2 linked regions of the Cricetulus griseus genome follow. The protein of the gene in region 2 interacts with the protein of the main gene of each other region in a biochemical or structural test. Links are inferred from orthologs where the notes say so. Each region holds a gene or a part of one and is shown on either strand. Other genes may lie near its edges. The genes, in order: protein argonaute-1 and Tnrc6b.

Region 1 (10,286 bases), about 350 Mb from region 2:
AGGGTAAACTAAAATAATACATTCTCCTCTTGATGGAAGAACCAGAAACATGGACACCTATTCAAAGGCAATTCTCCTAAAAAACAGCTTTAAAAAAAAAAAAAAAAAAAAAAAAAAAAACAGACAAGGTTTCTCTGTGTAGCCCTGGCTGTCATGGAACTTGCTTTGTAGACCAGGCTGGCCTCTAACTCAGGATCTGCCTGCCTCTGCCTCCCAAGTGCTGGGATTAAAGAGGTACACCACCACTACCTGGCTAAAAAACAAACAGCAACACAAATCCTTCCATCTAAGGGGAAGGTGAGTTATACCAACTTTCCTCTATAAAGAATTACTGAATGTCATCGGTGAAAAATTCTTCTTTGGATGTGTATGTCAGAGAGCAGAGTTAGATCTACTTCATGCTCAAAATCAATCAAGGCAATAAGTGATCAAATTTGAATCAACCAAAGGAATCCAAAAGAGACACAGTAGGGCTGAAGACATAGACCAGTGGTTTACAGTACCTGCTGGAACTGAAGAGGACTCAAAGACTGGTCTTAAGAGTATTTAAGAGAACCTAAGTTTGGTTCCAGCACCCTTGTCAAGCAGCTCACAAATGCCTGTAACTCCAGCTCCAGGGGACCTGGCACACTCTTCTCTACTCACGTGTTCATGAACACAGGCACACATGCACACAGTTTAAAATGAAATAAATTGGAAGAAGAAGAAGAAGAAGAAGAAGAAGAAGGAGGAGGAGGAGGAAGGAGGAGGAGCGAGGAGGAGGAGGAGGAGGAGGAGGAGAAGGAGAAGGAGAAGGAGAAGGAGAAGGAGAAGGAGAAGGAAGGAAGGGGAAAAAAGCCAAAAGCCAAGCATGATGGCACATGCTTTCAATCCTTGCATTTGGGAGGCAAAGGCAGGCAGATCTTTGGATGAGAGGTCATAATAAATTGCAGGCCATCCAGAGCTACATAGTAAGACCCTGTCTCTCTCAAAAAAAAAAAAAAAAAAAAAAAAAAAAAAAAAAAAAAAGAGGATAATAGAAAATAAGTATAATCTAAACGAGGTTTTGAAAGGTGGAGGAAATTTTAAGGGTAAGATAGGCATAGAGAAGATTCATACATTCTAAGCAAAGGGAAAACTATGTGAGTAGACTGGAAAGCACAAACAAAGAATGAGCATTCAAAGTGCTGGCTCTTGTCAAGGACTCTGCTAGATGCTGCTTTTTACATAACCGACGCTCAGAGGAGTTTGGTAATTTGCCTTAATTGGTTGACTGGTAAAGGAAAAACTGAGATTGGGTTCTCATTTCAGAACAAGTAACCTTGTAGTAAGTTTGTTATGTGAATAATACAGGAAAAAGCTGAAAGGTTAAACATGAAGCACTGAATGAAGACCAGTGAAGTTTGGGGGCTTTGATGTTGTTTTTTAAAAAAGTCTGATTTATTAACCTATTCATGAAAGGTATGAGGGACTAGTGTTGGCTCAGCAGGGGTGTAGGGGGAAGGTGCTTGTAACAAAGCCTGAGGACCTGAGTCCAATCTTGGGAATTTATTTCGTAAAAGATGAGAACCAATTCTTCAAGTTATCTTCCAACATCCATTCACATACTACTGTGGCAGAGGTACAACACACAACACACACACACACACACACACACACACACACACACACACACACACACACACACACACACACTATGCCACTATATAAATAAAATGTTTAAAAATTTCCTTGAGAAGTAAGATTTGAAGAGATGATCAATAATCCTGTAGAAGGAGAAGACAAAGAGAATTCAATGACTTGTTTTAAGAGTATGGGGCTGGAGAGATTGCTCAGTGGTTAAGAGCACTCCAGAAGTCCTGAGTTCAATTCCCAGCCACCACATGGTTCACAAGCCATCTTAGGAAAAAAAAAAAAAACAAGCAAAAATTACTATATTAAGGTAATAGGTAATGGCCAAAGCCAAAATGAGTGAGAATATCAGTAAGACAGATGAAAGGAAGAGGAAAGAAATTTTAGCATACCAGGCATTCCCAATAATGACAAAATAGACAAGAAATGTATCTGGAAGTCAAAGGAAGTGAAAACCAAGGTTCCCAATCCCACAGCTGAGTGAGGAGAATGAGATAAAGGGAAGCAGGCTACGGAGTAAGTGGCTGTTGAGGAAGTTTGCATGTAGAATAAGAAAAACAACTCGTTAAAAAAGAAAAACAAGGGCTAGAGAGATAGCTCAGAGATTAAGAGCACTGGCTGCTCTTACTAAGTTCTTTTTTTTTTTTTTTTTTTTTTTTTTTGGTTTTTTTGAGACATGGTTTCTCTGTGTAGCTTTGGAGCCTATCCTGGCACTTGCTCTGGAGACCAGGCTGGCCACGAACTCACAGAGATTGCCTGCCTCTGCCTCCCAAGTGCTGGGATTAAAGGCATGCGCCACCAACACCCAGCAAAATTTACATACTCTTTTTTTTTTGGGGGGGGGGGCAGCGGACACACACATGGACGACCTGAGTTCTATTCCCAGCAACCACATGGTGGTTCACACAACCATCTGTAATGAGATCTGGTGCCCTCTTCTGGCCTGCAGGGATAGCAGACAGAACACTATACATAAATAAATAAATCTTAAAAAAAAAAAAAAATTAACTCAAGAAGCTAACCACGAAAACACCAAACAATGAAATTAAAAAGTGGGGTGCAGAACTAAATAGAGAATTCTCAACAGAGGAATCTAAAATGGCTGAAAGACACTTAAGAAAGTGATCAAAATCCTTGGTCATCAGAGAAATACAACTCAAACCAACTCTGAGATACCACCTCACACCTGTCAGAATGGCTAAAATCAAAAACACCAATGACAATCTATGCTGGAGAGGATGTGGAGAAAAAGGAACACTCCTCATTTGCTGGTGGGAGTGCAAACTTGTAAGACTACTTTGGAAATCAGTATGGCAGTTGCTCAGAAAAATGGGAATCAGTCTACCTCAAGATCCAACAATTCCTCTCTTGGGCATATACCCAAATAATTCACGTCCATACAACAAGGACATATGTTCAACCATGTTCATAGCAGCATTGTTTGTAATAGCCAGAACCTGGAAGCAACCTAGATGACCCAAAACTGAAGAATGGATTGAGAAAATGTGGTACATTTATACAATGGAGTACTACTCAGCAGAAAAAAAGCAATGGAATCTTGAAATTCACAGGCAAATGGATGGAACTAGAAGAAACCATCCTGAGTGAGGTAACCCAGTCACAAAAAGACAAACATGTTATGTACTCAGTTATATATGAATTTTAGACACAGAGCAAAGGATTACCAGCCTATAATCCTCTTCACCAAAGAAACTAGGAAACATGAAGGACTCTAAGGGAAAAATGCATGGACCCCAGGAATGGGAAGCAGCAGGAACTCTTGAGCTAATTGGGAGCATGAGGGTAGGGCAGAGGGAGCTGCCAGAGTGAAAGGAGGAGAGGAGAGGAGAGGAGAGGAGAGGAGAGGAGAGAGGAGAGGAGAGAGAGGAGAGAGGAGAGGAGAGGAGAGGAGAGGAGAGGAGAGGAGAGGAGAGGAGAGGAGGAAATGGAGGAGCAGAAAGGTTGAGTTGGAGGAAGAATAGAGGAAGCAGGATGAGAGATACCATAACAGAGGGAGCCATTATAGGTCCGAGGAGAGATCTGGCACTAGGGAGATTTCTGGAGACCTTCAAGGATGACACGAACTGACAATCTAGGCAATGATGGAGAGGATAACCTAAATGCCCTTCCCCTATAATAAGACTGATGACTACTTTTTATGCCATCCTAGAGCCCTCATCCAGTGGCTGAAGGAAGCAGAGGCAGACACCTACAGATATACACTGAACTGAACTCTGGAACTTAGTTGCAGAGAGGGAGGAATGAAGATCAAAGGGGTCAGTACCAGGCTGGTGAAATGAAACCCACAGAAACAGCTGGCCTGTACTAGGGGGAGCACATTGACCCCAGACTGCTGCCTGGGAGGCCAGTACAGGACTGATCCAGACCCCTGAACATGGATGTCAATGAAGAGGCCTCCGCACTCTAGGGGGCCCCTGGTGGTGGATTAGTATTTTTCCCTGGTGTAAGAAGGGACTTTGAGAGCCCATCCCACAGGAAGGGATGGCCCAGACCAGAATGATGTGGTGGACTTTGGGGAGCCCCCGTCCAGGGCCCTACCCTGCCTGGGGAGTGGAGGATCGATGAGGTTAGGGGGTAGGTGAGGGGGAGAGGGAGAAGGATAGACGTGAAACAAGCTTGTTCCTAATTTGAACTAATAAAAATATTACAAAAAAAAAGAAAGAAAAAGAAAAACAATAGGGGGAGGGGAAAGAGAGGATTGACATGTGAAGCAGGCTTGTTTCTAATTTGAACTAATAAAAAATAAGAAAAAAAAGAAAAACATTAGGAAAAAAGATGCTTAAAGACATTGCAAAATTGCTAGAATGTGCTTTGGGCAGTTAATCTGTACATGTTCAAAGGTTTAGAGGTATGACGTCCCAAAGGTACCCAAACTGGATGGGAACAAAAACAGAGAAGTGAAGTAAAAGGGACAGTACAATTTTTAAAACAGGCCAAGATAATAGAGGAATACAGAGTAATAGACTAATAGGTGTTTGCAATATAAGAAAGAGGAAACAAGGAGAAATGTTGCAAAAAGTCCAAGCTACTACTAGGCAGAATTATAGCAGAATACCCCATATTCAGCTTGAGCTCATAATATCCTAATATATACCACACTCCCAAGTGACAGCTATCTGGCCTGACCCAACTCTGTGTCCCACTACATCAGCCTGGCACAAAACCCTATCACAGAAGAGCCTAGAAAATGTGACAATGAGTGTGACAAGTAAGTAAAACCAAATGTGACTCAACAGTTCAGGCAGTATTTCTCTGATTTAAAAACAACAACAACAACAAACAAAAAAACTGACATTAATAAACATCTCTGGATAAAGCCAAAATTCTTCACTTACTCCTCCCTACAAGCCCCTAGAGAACTATTGTTAAGCGAATCCTATCATTATTACTGTCCCAGGAGAACTGTACCATACACAGGCGTCTTCCCTGGCAGGATGACGATAATGAGCTGCAGTCCTGAGTAGGTGTTCTTTAGATGCCGGAACATGGGCTCCACACTATCTGCTCCCTGTGCATATTTGCAGAAACAAGGCTGACCCTGGATGGGCATCCCCGCATCCTTGGAAATCTTCCGCAGCTGGTCTGTGAAGTTCCTGTGGCACAAACATGGTCATGGCAAGATGTAATAAATCTCACTGAGTCTGATGGACCAAATGCCTCCATCTTAGGTACTCAGTACCATGAGAGTCTAACATGAAAGATCCAACCACAGCAGATGGAAAAATTACATTTATAGTAGAGGAAAACAAGGCAGAGCTTGCTCAACTAAAGAGAACACAAAAGGAGCTGAAGAGAACAGACAAGGGACTTGTGGGATTTCTCAGGGCTCTCGTCTTTCTCTGTCTGAGTGAGACCTATGGATGTCTGTACCCCATTACATGTCCACAGGGGAAAACAAACAACAAACAGATGCCTAAGTGTAAGGCCTTTGTGCCCAAAGTAAATAAGGATGGAAGCACAGAAGATAAATGCTCAGGGAAAAACGAGTTTCTTTCCTCTGGCTTTAGGTTTTACCCTGAGAAAGGCAACAGAGTTGATAAAGAGGGTGGCTATAGTACAGTAAAATAATCAAGCTACATAAATATACAAAAATGAGGGGGTGAGGGGAGGGAGAGGGAGAAGGGACTTACATGTGAAACAAGCTTGTTCCCTAACTTGAATATATATATATATTAATATATATATATACATATATACAAAAATGAGTGGCAAGCAATTTAATTCATAAAAATATTATCATTTAAGGCAAAGCAACCAGCAGTGAAGTGCCTGTCTGGCTTGTACAAGGGGTTGGATTCACACTCAGCATTGAACAACTTAATTAATAAAAGCAGTGAATGAATGTTTCAAAAATATATACGGCATACATATCAATGATAGCTCAGGACTCGTTTTTTTTCCATATTTAGTAAAAATATGTAGACACAGCCTATTTTATACAAATTTAAAATGATATGCATCCATAAAAAAAACTAGGTAAGAAGATTATAATCCACACCAGCAACTGCATCAGAAGAGAAGAATGAAACCAGAATGCAGGGCATCAAAAAATGTCAAATTTGTATTTTTTAAAAAGACTGAAGTAAACATGATAAAACTATGAATGTTGACTATGTAGGACTATATTATTTCTACATTATTATTACTATTATTGTGCTGGCTAACTTTTCATAACAAAAAGCTAGAGCCATCTTTGAAGAGGGATCCTCAATTGAGAAAATGCTTCCATTAAGATTCACCTGCAGAAAAGCCTTTCGGGCCTTTTCTCAATTAATGATTGACATGGAAGGGCCCAGCCCATGGAGGTATTGCTAGCCCTGGGCAGGGTCTCTGGTGCATAAGAAAGCAGGTTGAACAAGCTAGTAAGTAGCACTCCTCCATGGCTTCTACTTCAGTTCTTGCCAAGTTCCCTCAGTGACGGACTGAGATGTGGAACGGTAAGCAAAATAAACTCTTTCCTCATCAAGTTATCATGGAGTTTTATCACAGCAACAGAAACCCTAAGACAATTGTTTTGGGTTTTTTTGAGCTATAGTTTCACTATGTAGGCCTGACTAGCCTGGTATTCACTATATGTAGCCCCAGATGGCCTCAAACATAAGGCAATTTCCCGACTGTGCATTTTGAATATTGGTATTATAGGCATGAGGTATCATGTCTGCTAGCTACATTATTTATAAAATATTTTTAAACAAATAAAAATTAATAAATAATGACATTAAAAAACATATAATCTGTAGGTCTCAAAGCAAATATAACACTCATAATCCTGACATTTCTGACTGAGTCAGGAGAACCACCATGAATTTGAGGCCAGCCTGAGAGATACATCATCCCAAGAATACCCCACTCAAAAACTGAATGACTAAATGAATAAACAAATAAATGAAAAACTCAATACAAGCTAATCATTGCCTCCTATAATAGGGCTTTAATGGTCTGCTTTATATACAAATGTAGTATAGCTACTAAAACCTTAATCAAAACTCTTTTTTTACCAGCCAGGCAGTGGTGGCATACTTTAATTCCAGCACTCGGGAGGGAGGGAGGCAGAGGCAGAGGCATGTGGAAGGCTGTATCCAAACAATGACACAACCACAGTGATGAAGACAGATAAAAAAAAATAGGATTGACTATGTTTATCCATCACTGACAAATTTCCCCAACTCCACACAGCAGCCTCTGCTTCTCCCACTGTCTTTGTGAAAAGAATGTTTTTCTCTATACTCTGAGTCTCATGTCCTTAGGAACATTTGCCTCATTACTTTCCAGTTTTTCTAAATTCTATTTCCAATTTCTACTTTCTATGCATAGTCTCAGGGAGTCTCTACTACATAACGTAGTTTTCATGGCTGAGAAATCTTTATCTTTGGCCCAGAATCATGCATTAAATTAGGTACCACTGATCCTCATACACAAGTTACTTTTTTATGCTCTGCATGTAGGGGTCACTGAGAAAAAAGGGTGCTTAATGCACTGAACTCTTCCAAACATGAGATCCTAGGTTTATCAATTTCTGGTGAACCGGAAAGGTCAAAACTATAGATTATTTAGAAACACACACAAAAAAAAAACAAACACTCGGACAAGGGCAGGATAAAAAAAGTAGGAAAAAGAGCTACCAATGAGATTATTATGGCATAAATAATCTGACTAGCCTGGTATTCCAGTATTGCTACAATGCCAAACCAAATGCAAGAACAGCCTGGCCTAAATCTAACAAATCTAGGAAAGGAGACTAAAAAATAAATAGGGAAACCAAAAAATTCCAGTGATGAGAAATTACAATTATGAAGGTGGCTACGTGTCTGCCTGGCAGGGGGAAGGGAGGACAAGGGCCTAGAAGGCCTGGATCCAACAGGAGCACAAATCTCTATTACCTTTGTCATGACCAAAATGGTCAGCTCCACTGATTTCCTCATTACCAGAATACAATGATCCACTCTCCATCTCCAGAGCCACCACATAAAAAGACAGCAGAGTCTGAACCATAGTTGTATATAGGTGCACTTTTTGGTGTTGTAAGCTAACTCAATAAAACTTTAAAAACTAAAGACTATAGGGAAAGTGTCAAGTGACTTTGCTACTTGTTTATTTACTCAGTCAGGCTGTTAATTCTCTAACCTGTTTCTTTAAGCTAATTTGTGTTATCGTTTTCTTCCTTGCTGTCATGTACTCCCAGCTTCTCAAGGATGATGAGGGGGCCTGCCTCTCAATTCATGTGCACCTATTTCAGGGCACTTGCAGCTCACTTAACTATGTCCTGATGAGTACAGCAGAGGACCAGCTGCTAGTCCTTGATAGCAAAAAAAAATGTTTCTAATTAGAAGCTCAGATCTGAACCTTTCCTGATGTGCACACTTTGGACAAGTTATTCAATCTCTTTCAGCCTTAGTCTCCTGAAATATTACCTCATACGGTGGTTTGAATGAGAACAGGCCCCCATAGGCTCATATATTTGAATGCCTGGTCCCCAGTTGGTAAAACTGTTTGAAGGATTAGGAGGGGTGGCGTTGTTAGAGGAGATGGGTCACTGGAAGATGGACTTCGAGGTTTCAAAAGCACATGCCATTCCAGTTCACTCCCTCTCTCCTCTTGTTTGATCAGATGTAAACTCTCAGCTATTGCTCCAGTGCCATGTGGCCTATCCTGCAACAATGGTAATGGACTCATCCTCTGGTGCTGTAAGGCCCAATAAACTCTTTATTTTATAAGGGGTCACGGTGTTTATTATAGCAATAGAAAAACAACTAAGACACCACCTACTCACTATCAAGATGAAAGAACATAAATTAGTCACTTAAGTGTAATGTTAGCATAAGCATTATGGTTATTACCACTACTACTTATTACTAATTATGATAATTAGAACAATAAAATGACTCAGGCCTCCTTTAGGAGAGTCATACCCTAAAATTCATGTCTGATATAGATATGGCTCCTCAAGTCTTCTGATCACATATGCATAGAAAATAGGCAGAAATGTGAGTCACGAAAAAAAACCAAAAAACAAAACAGAGTTAAAAGAGGAAAGACAGATCAATCTAGACCCCTGGAGGTTATAAGATCAACAGGTCTGGGATCCTTCCCACCCCCACCCACCCCCATCCCCAAAACCCAACTCTCTTCCATCCTTACTTGAGCACTTCTTCTCGACATTGTTTTTGGGGTGCGAAGCAGGCGATGGCCCAGACTTTGATCTCAATGCCATTGTAGAATTGTTTCCCACGCATGTCCCAGACACCTTGGTTGGGTGTAGCAATGGCCCGATTCTAGGGACAGGTAGAGGGGGCGCCCAGGTGAGCCTCAGTAGAGCCATGTGAGGAGGGAGCAAAAGCCCCTAAGCTATGTAACCCAACTACCCCCATATGCCCCAGAGATGTTGTCTGGCCCTGACCCTGCTCACCCGGCCGCCATATTGCAAGATGGGCGCCGGCAGCACTCGCCCCGTCACCTCCGTCATGTCATCCTTCACTTTGATTCCAAATTCCTGGATGTAGGGATCTAAGTTGTAGCTGGCATTCTTCATCTGCGGGGCAAAAGAAGGGGATCTCAGGAGACCAGCAGCTTGGCAATACTGCTCATGTTCTGGGTCCCAAGGACAGAGCCCTGAAGAGAAGCTGAGGCTGCCAAGAAATAGCCCTGAAAAGGGGGTAGGAGAAATAGAAAATGAAGGGAGTGGGAGTGCAAATGGGAGTTGAGTTAGAAAGGAGGGAAAGAGAGAAAGAGCAGCTGAAGGATCAAGAAGCAAGAGCAGCCTGCAAAGTCCCAGACAATAAGTCCAGTCAGGGTTTCCTGAAGGAAAGCATCTACCCTACCAAGGGCCCCAAAGGCTCAGTGAACAAGCATGCACTGCTCAGCAGTCCCACTGACCAGGCGACTGATCTCCTCCTGTCTGTCTGGGGCCGACCTAGCTGTAGCCTTTATCATGGTTGAGGTCTGGTTGTCAGTCAACTTCTTAATGCACCGCTGCCCGGCCACAATGTTACAGACCTGAGAAAATGAGTGGAGAAGGAGTTACAGTCTGAGCACAGCCTATCCTTTTACAGTACCTTAGCTAACAGAAGTGGGAAAAGGACTACAGAGTCCTTTATACAAAAATACATTGTGACCAGGTCTGTGATCAGGTCTCATGTATTAAATGAGAATAATTA
Region 2 (10,745 bases):
TGGCATTTACATTTGTTTTGCATTTACATTGTTTTATTTATTTTTGCATGTTTGGTAAAGTTTTATTACTATTTTTTAATGTGCATTGGTGTTTTGCCTGCATTTATGCCTGTGTGAGAGTATCAGATCCCCTGGAACTGGAGTTACAGACAGTTGTGAATTGCCATGTAGGTTCTGGGAATTGAACCCAAGTCCTCTAGAAGAGCAACCAGTGCTCTTAACTGCTGAGCCATCTCTCCAGCCCCAACATTTGGTAAAGTTTTAATATGTAAATTTAAGGAATATATTTGTATCAGCAGTTTTCAAGCCTAGTTGCATGTTAGAACACTTGGGAGGAGTAGTTTTAAAAATCCCAGGGTGATTCTTATGTCACCAAACTGGAATGCTGCCCGGGTGACAGTTTTGTGTTTGTTGTTTAGGAAAACAAGTCTTGAATTTAGAGTTCGATATGCTTTTGAAACATCCCTTTTTGCTTGTTTCCTGAGTTGCTCTGAGAATGAGCCACTGAGCTAGTGCCCAGGAAGGCATTTGCAGCCCTTTCTCCAATGCTGTAGTGGTTTTTGGCAGACAGAGATTCATCTCCTGTACTCCTGAAATGTGACCACCAGAAGCAAAGATCTAACCCTGCACAGTGGTTCTCCAGAGGCTGAGGCAGGAGAATTGCCTCAAATTTGAGGTCAGTCTGGACTACACAGTGAGTCTAAGACAGCCTGGCCTGCTACTGTGAGACCCTGCCTCAAAATAAACCAAAACAAAATACAGTATTGGTTCCTTACTGCCATTGACTCTTCAGCCCCCACTGAAGGATTTCCCTCCCACTATTGCCTCCTAATTGCAACTTTTTGAGCCTTTGTAGCAAAAAGACTGCCTGGTGGTTTGGGGCCTATCTCCTTAGTTTCCCTTTACTCATAGCAGGTTTTCAAGCTTTCCTTGACTTTGACCTGGGAAACTTTCAAACCATTTATTTTGTAGTTTGCCTCTTAGCTCTCATGGTGCAGTTTTCTGATAGATCCCCAGTAAGTCTCCATGATGGCAACAGGGAATAGATTATTTGATTGAGGTGGTGTCTGCCAGCCTGCTATTACTCTTCCCCTTCAGAATAAAAAGTTGTTTTTTGTTTTTGTTTATCAAGACAGGATGTCTCTGTAGATCGGGCTGGCCTCGAACTCACAAGAGATCCGCCTGCCTCTGCCTCCCTAGTACTGATTAAGGTGTGTGCCACCACAGTGCACAATATTTTGTAGGTAGATTCTTAAAACTCTTTGAATGTCCCATTCCTCTCTCATAATTTATTCATTTCTTATTTTTCCTTTGGCCTTTGTGTTTTACTAATTTATATAATGGTTTATAACATCTTCTAGCAATACTTACAACGATCTTATGTCACCCCAGATAGTGGAATCCCCTTCAGACTGTCTTCTAATTTAAGGACTCCTATTTTGTGGCAAGCAGTCTGTTTTCATATTAAACTTTCCGGGACTGAACCCCTGAATTAGTGTTTTGGTATGCTCCCTCCCAATAACTGGTTCTTTTAGTTAAGAATGGTACTTAATAGCTGCAAGTCTTTGTGCTAAATTGGATTTAATCTCTGCCAGCTTACCTCTAGTTTCAATGGGATTCCTTGCCGCAGGGAAATAAGGTAGATTTTGACCATCTGAACACCCAATGCCTTCCTCTGGCCAGCACACAAATGTGTGCACACACATGCTAGCTAAATAGGCTATTACTATTTGAATATTCCTTATTTTGTAGCCTCACAGTTACAGATATAGGGAGGGAGGGTGGGGGAAAGGAGAGAGAATAAGTACATAGGTAGTTACATGTATATGTTATGTCTGTTTATTGAAAACAATGAGTACATGTTGGTCACCAATTTAGATCCAACTCCATGTGTTTGGTTTTTTCCCCATTGCATTTTTGTAACTCCTTTTTTTTTTTTTTTTTTTTTTTTTTTTTTTTGGTTTTAGAAACCTGGATGCTGTTGTCCTACTAACCTACTTTATTGTCACCCTTCTATGTGCTAGTGCCTTCCCATTGCCATTGGAGTGGGTGTCCTCCTTGCTCTGCTTGGGCTCTGAGTCAGTACAGGGATCTTTTAGAGCTCCCCAAATGGTATTTCTTATAGATAGGGAACACCTGAATTAAGAGGCGAGTCCCACACTGTTTGAGTCAAGCAAGTCAGTGGTGGGCTTTCAAATATAGTTTGGCAAAGTAAAAATTCCCTAAGAAGGTAAAAGGTAAGGAGAAGACTTAAATTCTACCAAGATGCTGTTGAAAAACAAAAAGAAAAAACAGGGAGAAAGCAAAGCTTGCCTCCTAGAAAGCTTTGAAAAGTATTTGCTTTGAATAGAAATATCCTTCTAGTGTACATGAATTTCATTCTCTTCCCTGAATTACTTGTTTATAGGAAAGAATTTGAAAAAGTTAGTTGTTTTTTGAGAATGTATCTTGTTAAAAAACCTTTTTTAGTGTAGCATTTTAAATATAAATTTAATTTTGGAAATTTTAGACATAAAAATGACAACTTGATTTTTAAGCAGGAGATGTTTGGACTGTGACTGTCCCTCTTCTGTAAGCAGTTTCACTATGCAATGTGGGAACTAAGTTGTAGTAACAGGAACTCTCATCCTCTCCTTTTGCTCCATGAGAGGCATCACAGCATCCCTAAATTTAACAGGAAAGTAAATAATTTTTTAAAATACTGTTTTGTGGATTTTTGTTTGTTTGTTTTTGACAAAGTGTCCCTATGTAGCTAGCTTATAACTCAGCAATCCTCCTCACTCTTTCCCAGAGTGTATCCCACATGCTGGAATTACCCACTGCCATGTCTGGTGTAGGAAATTCTTGTTTTCTATGGGGAAAATACTGATGGTCTATTCATGAGTGCCCACTTTAGTTCTTGCCCTGTTTGCTTTGTGTAGTTGAATGTTTTTGACTAGATCCACTTTCTTCCCTAGACTCTACTCCCTCTGGAACCATTTTTGTGGGTTTGCCACTTGCAACTTTATTAGTTCCTTGTTTCTTTAATCTTTTTATCTTGGTCATAGTCTAGATGATGTCTGTGAAGCCATGAGCTAATATGTTATTACTTAAAATCCTAACTGCCATAGGCTGTGTCTGTTCCCTGCTGTGGGGACTTCCCACAGCTATGTCTCTGACTGCTTTCCTCACCAAGGTTCAGTTGGTGAGGGGCTTGTTGCCCAGTGGGAACTCTGTAGTTGAGGTTATATTCTTGGTTAGTTGGCCTTTTTTCTCAGTAGATACATAGAATGAAAGCTGTTGGGCATTAGAATAAATGTTATATTTCTTTCTTTCTTTCTTTCTTTCTTTCTTTCTTTCTTTCTTTTTATGCAAATAGCACGAGGCTTTAATGCAGTTGTTTAACGAGCTAACCCCTAGCTTGGGCCTTTCGTCCACCCACTATGGCGGATGGCTCAGGAAAGACCAATAAATGTTATATTTCAAAGGTACTTTGGATTTGCAATGTAAATTGTATAATTTTAAGATGTAGCACAATTCCTCAACTGGAGGTCTATTAATATGCATTGGTGTTTTGGGGGGGGTTGGTTTTGTTTTGTTTTGTTGTTTGTTTTTGTTTGTTTTTCTGCTGAGTGGAACAGATTGACTTGATTTGTGTTTGTAGGAAAAAGATACAGCTATGAACCCACATACCTTCCTTAAAAACACATATAGTGAGATCAGATCTGAACTCCTTTGGTGGGGATGGGGGAGTGTCGAGACAGGGTTTCTCTGTGCAGCCCTAGGTGTCCTGGAATTCACTCTATAGACCAGGCTGGCCTGGAACTCACAGTGATCCGCCTCCCGAGTGCTGGGATTAAAGGCGTGTATGTGCTGCTGCTGCTGCCACCACCCTTTTAATTTATGCTTTTGTTTTAGGAAAAACAAAAAACAAAAAAACTGGCAAGTGGTGCATACCTGTAATCCCAGCTCTAGGACAGAGGGTTACAGTTCAGAGGCCAGTAGATTCCTAGGGTTTACCAGCCACTCAGTCTACTAAAAACAGCAAGCTCTAGGTTCCATCTCAAAAAAAAAAAAAAAAAAAAAAAGAGGTGGAGGGGCTAGAAGAATGGCTCAGAGTATTTGCTCTTCTTCCAGATCAATTCCTAGCACTCAGTTGGTGGTTCACAGCCTTCTTTAACTCCTGTTCCTGAGATCCGATGCCCTCTTCTGGCCTCCTCAGGCACCAGCACACCTATAGTACAGACAAAACACCCATACCCCTAAAATTAAATTAAATTTTAAAAAAAAGCTAGAGTGATGGAGGAAGAAACCCAGTCTATTAGAAGCCATCTATGTATTATATTCAAAGCAAACCCACTACTAAGTAAAAGTACATTAATAATTCTCTTGAATGTGTCTATATACAGATACTATAGAAATGCTTGTAGGCCTCTTTGAAACCAAGCTTAATGTAATGGATGTTTTATGAAAGGGATGGCAAGCCATGACATGGGAATACCCAACAGGCATGAGTTTTATATGTTCTTTTGGTTTAAGTAAGTTATTAGTACTGTGATCTTTGCTACAGAAGTGGAATGTAGATGTGTGTATATAACCTTTACAGTGTGTTACTTCTTTTACAGAGAGAAGGAGCAAGAAAGGGAAGAACAGTTAATGGAAGACAAGAAAAGGAAGAAAGAGGATAAAAAGAAAAAAGAAGCCACCCAGAAGGTGAGTTGGGCATTTAGGTCTGTCTTCATATTTGCCGGGCATCCATAATTAGTGACTGCCTTACTTGAATACCTGATAATGCTGCCCAAGACATTAGTTTGTTTGAAAGTTTAAAAATTTGAATGGATGGTGGTGGGCTGAATGTCTACTTAGTAAAGTGTGTTTTGAGTTCAGTCCTCAGCACTGGAGGGAGAAAAAAAATGAATGATGCCAGTGTAACTTTATTAAAACATTGACTTTCATTTAGGGCTAAAATTAAATTTCTTCCAAACAGAAATTAAACATGAACCCCTTTTCACTGTATTCAGTGGCAGCTTACTCTTTCCAGAACCATTCCTGAGTAAACCATATTAAATTCCCATTCATGAGAGAGGTGTAAAGAAGGACTCCATTCATTCATTAGGCTGATGCTGCAAAAGGAGCATTGTGTAATGTTGGCAGGACTTGGATTCTAAATGTCCATCTGAGAATTGGCTGTTGTAACAGCACCAGCATTATAAGACATTCAAACATGATTTAGATTTGTTGCTTACAACTGGGAAAAGTATTGACTCTTACACAACTGATCTTCAAAGTAGCATTCCAAGAAATAGTTACAATGGAGTAAAGCCTAAATTGTAGTCATGAATTGGTATGTGGACCAAACCCATTCATTCTTGAATAATTGGGGACTATAGAAAAATGTACGAGGGCTTTTCACTAGAATGGAGCCTGAGCAATTAGTAGTGGGGAGCAGGTTTGTTTGAAGGTACTTTTCCAGAGTGTAGTATAGTACGGTTAGCCTGTCCTTTAATGCAACAATGTAAAAAGCACTCTAGGGAGTCCTAAGAATAGATTGTTTAGGTCAGACTCAGTCTAAGTGTGCTAGGATCTGTTTTGAAGGCTGCTTAGCTACAGGACATGCACTCCACAGATGACCATGTTTTCATAGATGGTAGTGATCCAGAATGATTACCAGCCACACATGACTTTTAAAAACCATGGTAGCTTTCATTTAATTACATTTTGGATAATATATTGGAAGTATATAAAACAGGGCCTACATAAAAATGCACCCTTTTTGTTTTTTTTCGAGACAGGGTTTCTCTGTGTAGCTTTGGAGCCTATACTGGCACTCACAAAAATGCACTTTTTAATATGAATTTGTTTCTCACCATATTTTTGTTTCATCTTTTATTGTTTTGTGAATTTCATACATATATACAATATATATTTTGACTATATTTGCTCCTCCCATTCCTCCCCCCACTCCTCGGATCCACCCCACTGCCAACTCCCAATATCCTGTCTTCTTCATTTTTTTATAGCCCACTGATTGTAATTTGTACTACTCATATAGTCAAGGGTGTGGGGCCATCTACTACTATGCTTAGTAAGGGCCTCACCCTTAAAGAAAGTTTACCCTGCCTCAGAAGCCATCAATTGTCAGTAGGTCCTCAGCTAGAAGTGTGGCTTCTAAGACCCCTCCCCTCTTGGTGCTGGATTATTAACTGGGTTGGTTTTGTGCAAGTGTTTTCTAACTGCTGTGAATTCGTAAGTGCCGTGATTCTGTCAGGTCCAGAACTGTTTTGGTCCTTCTAGCTCTTATTGTCTTTCTGCTCCCTCTTGCTCTGTGGTTCCTGAGCCTTGGGGGCATAGCATTAATTTTTAATAACTCTTCCTACAATGTTTGATGGTCAGTGTAAAAGTGCTTTAGCAGATTGACAGTTTGTAAAAGCGGGTCAGATGTTGTCTTAACAATGTAACAGATCCATGGCTAGGAATCCTGCTTACTTGCTTTGGGATTCTTTTCTTTTGTGGACCTCTTGTGGTTTTGCTTTTATATTATAAGGAGTATATGATGAGTGTCCCTGTGTCATTGCCCCCCACACACACACACACACACACTACCCTGTAGCAATATCAGAAGTAGTTTCCATCTGTCTTCTAAAGATTTCCACATACACATCCCCAAGCCCATTATGTATTTAGCAACTCATCATTTTAGGCTTTTTCATAGAGTCTTACTTATTACTTGAAGTACTTTTAACAAAGCATTCATAAAATTTTGTTCAAAATTTGCACAATTCAGTCTTATATTCTGCTTTATAACTTTTATGATAGCAGCAGGTATCAACTGAACATTGGCATGGCTGTCTGATGTAACCCTTTACCAAAACCCTGCCGGGGGTGGGAGAGGGGTGACTATCTCACTAGATAAATGGGTAATTGAGATCACATAGACTTGGTTTTCTTTTTATATTATTATTTATTTAACTTTATTTTATGTGCATTGGTGTGAAGGTATCAGATCCCCTGGAACTGGAGTTTTAGACAGTTGTGAACTTCCATGTGAGTGCTGGGAATTGAACCCACCCAGGTCCAATTCCACAGCAGCCAATGCTCTTATCCACTGAGCCATCTCTCCAATCCCAGACTTGGTTTTCAAATCTTCCTTTACAACCACGATTGTTGCTTTCAGGATGAGCCCCTCCTGCTTTTTAAGGTTGAGCTCAAAAGTATTTGAGTTCATACTCAGGAGGGAGTCTTTTTGTGTTAATGTTGAGTTTAGTTTCTGGCCATAGCTGTTTGATTTTCTGAAATTAGAGCAATCAGAATGTCTATTCCCAATACAGGGACTATATCATTTAGCAGGTAGATTTTTTTTTTTTTAAGTTACGGGGTTTTTGTTTTTTGTTTTTTGTTTTGCTTTGTTCTGGTGTGTTTGTTTTAAATTTAGATTTCCTCCTAATCTTAGTTGTGTGAGTACAGCTAGACATATGGACATAACTTCTAGAAAGATGTCCAAATTGACTCAGTTGTTTTGGATTTCAGCTAAGCCTGGGCACTGTGTATCCTGACAACTTGAATTGCTTGAGTTAATAGAATTAAAATGCTCTTATAATACAGTACTGAATTTAAAAGCAAATCTGTTATTTGTTTTGCAGGTCACGGAACAAAAAACCAAAGGTAAGATTTTTATCCTCTTTTTGTGTTTAGATTTCACTCTGCTGTTGACTCAGCCTGCAGTGCACTCAGCAGAGAGTGGGTGCACAGTAATTAAGGTGGGTTGTTTGTGGCCACTGAAGAGAGCAGTAATGACAAACTAAAAGCACTCAGCATTGTCTTTCTAGTTGGCCTTACATTTTTAGAAAGCAAAAGGGTAAATATTTTGTTTTAAAACTGTGTGAATCATGATTTTGAACTGAACTCTTTCAGAATTTTTAGTAGAACAGTGACAAACTACCAGCTCCTAGTTTCAGGTGGGAATTGCAGAGTGCACTTACCCATCTTGGTACATGGAATGCATCAAGTCTGAAACTGGAATGTCAAATCTAAAATGTTCACAGCCTTCTGAACTGGGGCCTGGACTGTGGTTTGGTTTGGTTTTTTTTTTTTTTTTTTTTTTATACCAAATTTTGAGTAAGTTAACTTTGCTTTAAAAAACTGATGTGTTGCAAACAGAAGCAAGTGGCCCTTAGGTCATTCTCAATCTAATACTGTCCTTTTCTGTGGGTTTTTTTTTTTTTCTGCTTCCCTAGTTCTAATTATGTAGTTTGTGTTTTGTTTTTAATGATGGTCACTGGATTAGCAAGCCTTAAGAATGGGAGGGAAAATTCCTTGAAATAATGCTTACTTTTGAGCACTTAAACATGTGGTTCTCCATTGGGTGTGCATTAGAATAGTTCAAATAGTCATCAAAATACATGCACTCAGGCTGCTGCCAGATGTTGTGTATCTAGGCTGGAACCCTTGTAGATGTACTTTGAAGTGTCCATGAAACCTCAGAACATGAAAACCATTGCCTTGGCTTAAAAGAAAAAGTCAGATAAGGGTAATGGAGACTTGGATTTGATGAGAGTCCCTTTAATGAGGAGGTGGTTTGGGTGATTTGGTTTGATTTGGTTGATTTTGTGACTAACAGGCCAAAGCATGCCATTCTGTGATAGAAGGCCAGTAAAGGTGGTCCATCTTCATGGGTGTTTTATGTAAGGATAGCTTTCTTAGGAAACCTAATTATGAAAAATAAATTCTCAAATAAGTACATATTAATGTATTATATTTCGAATCAAAGGTTTATCAAAGACTGTCCTGGGACTTTGTAGTGATTTAGAAAGTAAATTGTGAGAAACTGTTGTTATAATTATCTTAATTGGTTAGGAGGATAATGTTCTCCTCCTTGTCTAGTTCAGCCAGTTCCCAACCTACAAGTAGGCTTTCTTCTAGAAAAATCCATCAAATAATATGCATTTTTTCCCTAAGTCTATTTAGAAGTATACTTTGTGAATGGACTTTGGAAACAAATATTTATCAGACTTGGCGGGGGGGGGGGGGGTGGATTCACTATATAGCTATAGCTAATCTGGACCTCATGGTGTTGGACAAGCTGGCCTTGACCTTAAAATGATCCTCCTGCCTCTGCCTCCGAAGTGCTACGATTATAGGCACATGCTAGTGGCCTATTAAAGGACTTTTACAGTGGGCATTGGTGTTTCTTGACCAGCCAGGCTCTGTGTTGGTAAAACATAAGGAATATGGTAGAACTTGGGTTCCTAAGCCTGGCCACTTAAGCCTGCTTCTAGTTTATAGAAAACAAAGCTCACTAGGCAGTTTTTCTCCAGATGGTAATAACGATACCAGGTTTTCACGAGTTCGAGCACACGCACACAGAGTTTTCTCTTCTGCCAAAGTTTTAAAAGTCAAACTTTCCTTCCTACGTACTTCCCTCTCCTTGGGTCTTTTTCATACCTACTGTAGATGAAACATACTTCCCTGTCTCCTTAGTCTTCCTACTCCCTCAATGAGAAAATCAAGTCACATTATCCTAAAGGGAGGGAGATGAGGCCTAGCTTGGGTCTCTAAGGATTTAATTGTTGGAACCAGGGAAAAGGCGGGAAGTTTTAAAAAGCGCATACATATGTACATGCGTGTATACGTTTCTATTTCTATTTGAGGAGTGTCAGACTCACCAGCCTTGCTAGGTTTGTTCCATTTCTTGGTCAAGTCTTTGTTGGGCACTTTCTACCTTGTTCTTTTCCCTGAGCTGACATTTCTGGGTCCTGTTCCTCCCCCGACTGACATTCACCTTCTTAAGCGATCTGCCCTTAACTCTGAATCTACTCTTTCCCCAGCAGAGAAAAAGAAAAGACTGTGTTGGTGCCATGTCTTGGGTTGTACAAGGACTGAAGTAAGATTTTTCTGTATTTCAGAAAAACAGTGGATTGGTTTTTTTGTTCTTCCTTTATCTTCCACTATTAAAAATAGTACAGTAAGAATCCCAGAGAGGAGAGTAGGACAAGGACTTCAGTTAGTTCTCTGAGGACATGGGCTAGCTGTGCCTACTCAGCTAAAAAGAAGAAAAAGCACTTGGGCAAAAATTTAGATTCTCTTTTGTAGATATTAGACAGGAGCAAAACAGTCCCTATAATCAGGCACTAGGTCAGATTTAACTAGGTGAAATTTAACAGGGAAAAGGGTAAGGCTAGGGTTAAAAGCCCAATTACATGAACTACATAATGGCAGAATTTGGCCATAACAATTTAGCCTTGTTAAAGGGTGCTATAGGATGATGATTGCCTTAATGAGAACTATCAGTATGGAATGAAATGACAGGTTTCTAAAAACTAGCATGACCTTTAGCTGCTACAAAGTATCCAGACTGGGAATTGCAGGTCTGTAGATGTCAGTATGGAAAGGGAAGTCTCCATGGACTATGCATATTTTGGGTCAGGTTGGCCAAGAAATTTATCACTTCAGGCAGTTTTAAATATGTGGGGTTGTTTCACTCTCATGTCTTCCTAACTGGGGACCCTCAGGTGGGGCTCTGGTGGCTAGAATGGAACATGTCCACAGTAAATATCTGGGGTTTGTTTTGTTTTTTCCAGTGAGGCTTATTTTGACCCTAGACATACCAAGTATGAGTCAAAGAAGTGGGTGCAAGCTTCCAGATCAATGGGTCAGTTTTTTAGAGACTGTGGTTCAGAGCACTAAATCATAACCTTGCCCCCCTACCCCAGTGGCACATATCTTAAGGGAAGCATTTCCCATGGTCATATCTTGGTTGTGTGTCATTT

What was found.
Region 1: the proteins of Tnrc6b (region 2) and protein argonaute-1 form a complex in vitro, tested with the Homo sapiens proteins (2 studies listed by BioGRID and IntAct). The link is inferred for Cricetulus griseus from reciprocal best matches to the Homo sapiens genes TNRC6B and AGO1.

Annotation. Positions count from the first base shown.
Region 1 is NC_048595.1:26,589,562-26,599,847, reverse strand, and holds part of protein argonaute-1, read right to left. Parts: intron 10,126-10,286; coding exon 10,006-10,125; coding exon of another isoform or gene 9,986-10,005; intron 9,662-9,985; coding exon 9,530-9,661; intron 9,405-9,529; coding exon 9,271-9,404; intron 5,226-9,270; coding exon 5,041-5,225; intron 1-5,040.
Region 2 is NC_048595.1:378,016,187-378,026,931, forward strand, and holds the start of Tnrc6b (trinucleotide repeat-containing gene 6B protein), read left to right. Parts: upstream 1-4,619; 5' UTR 4,620-4,635; coding exon 4,636-4,692; intron 4,693-7,619; coding exon 7,620-7,641; intron 7,642-10,745.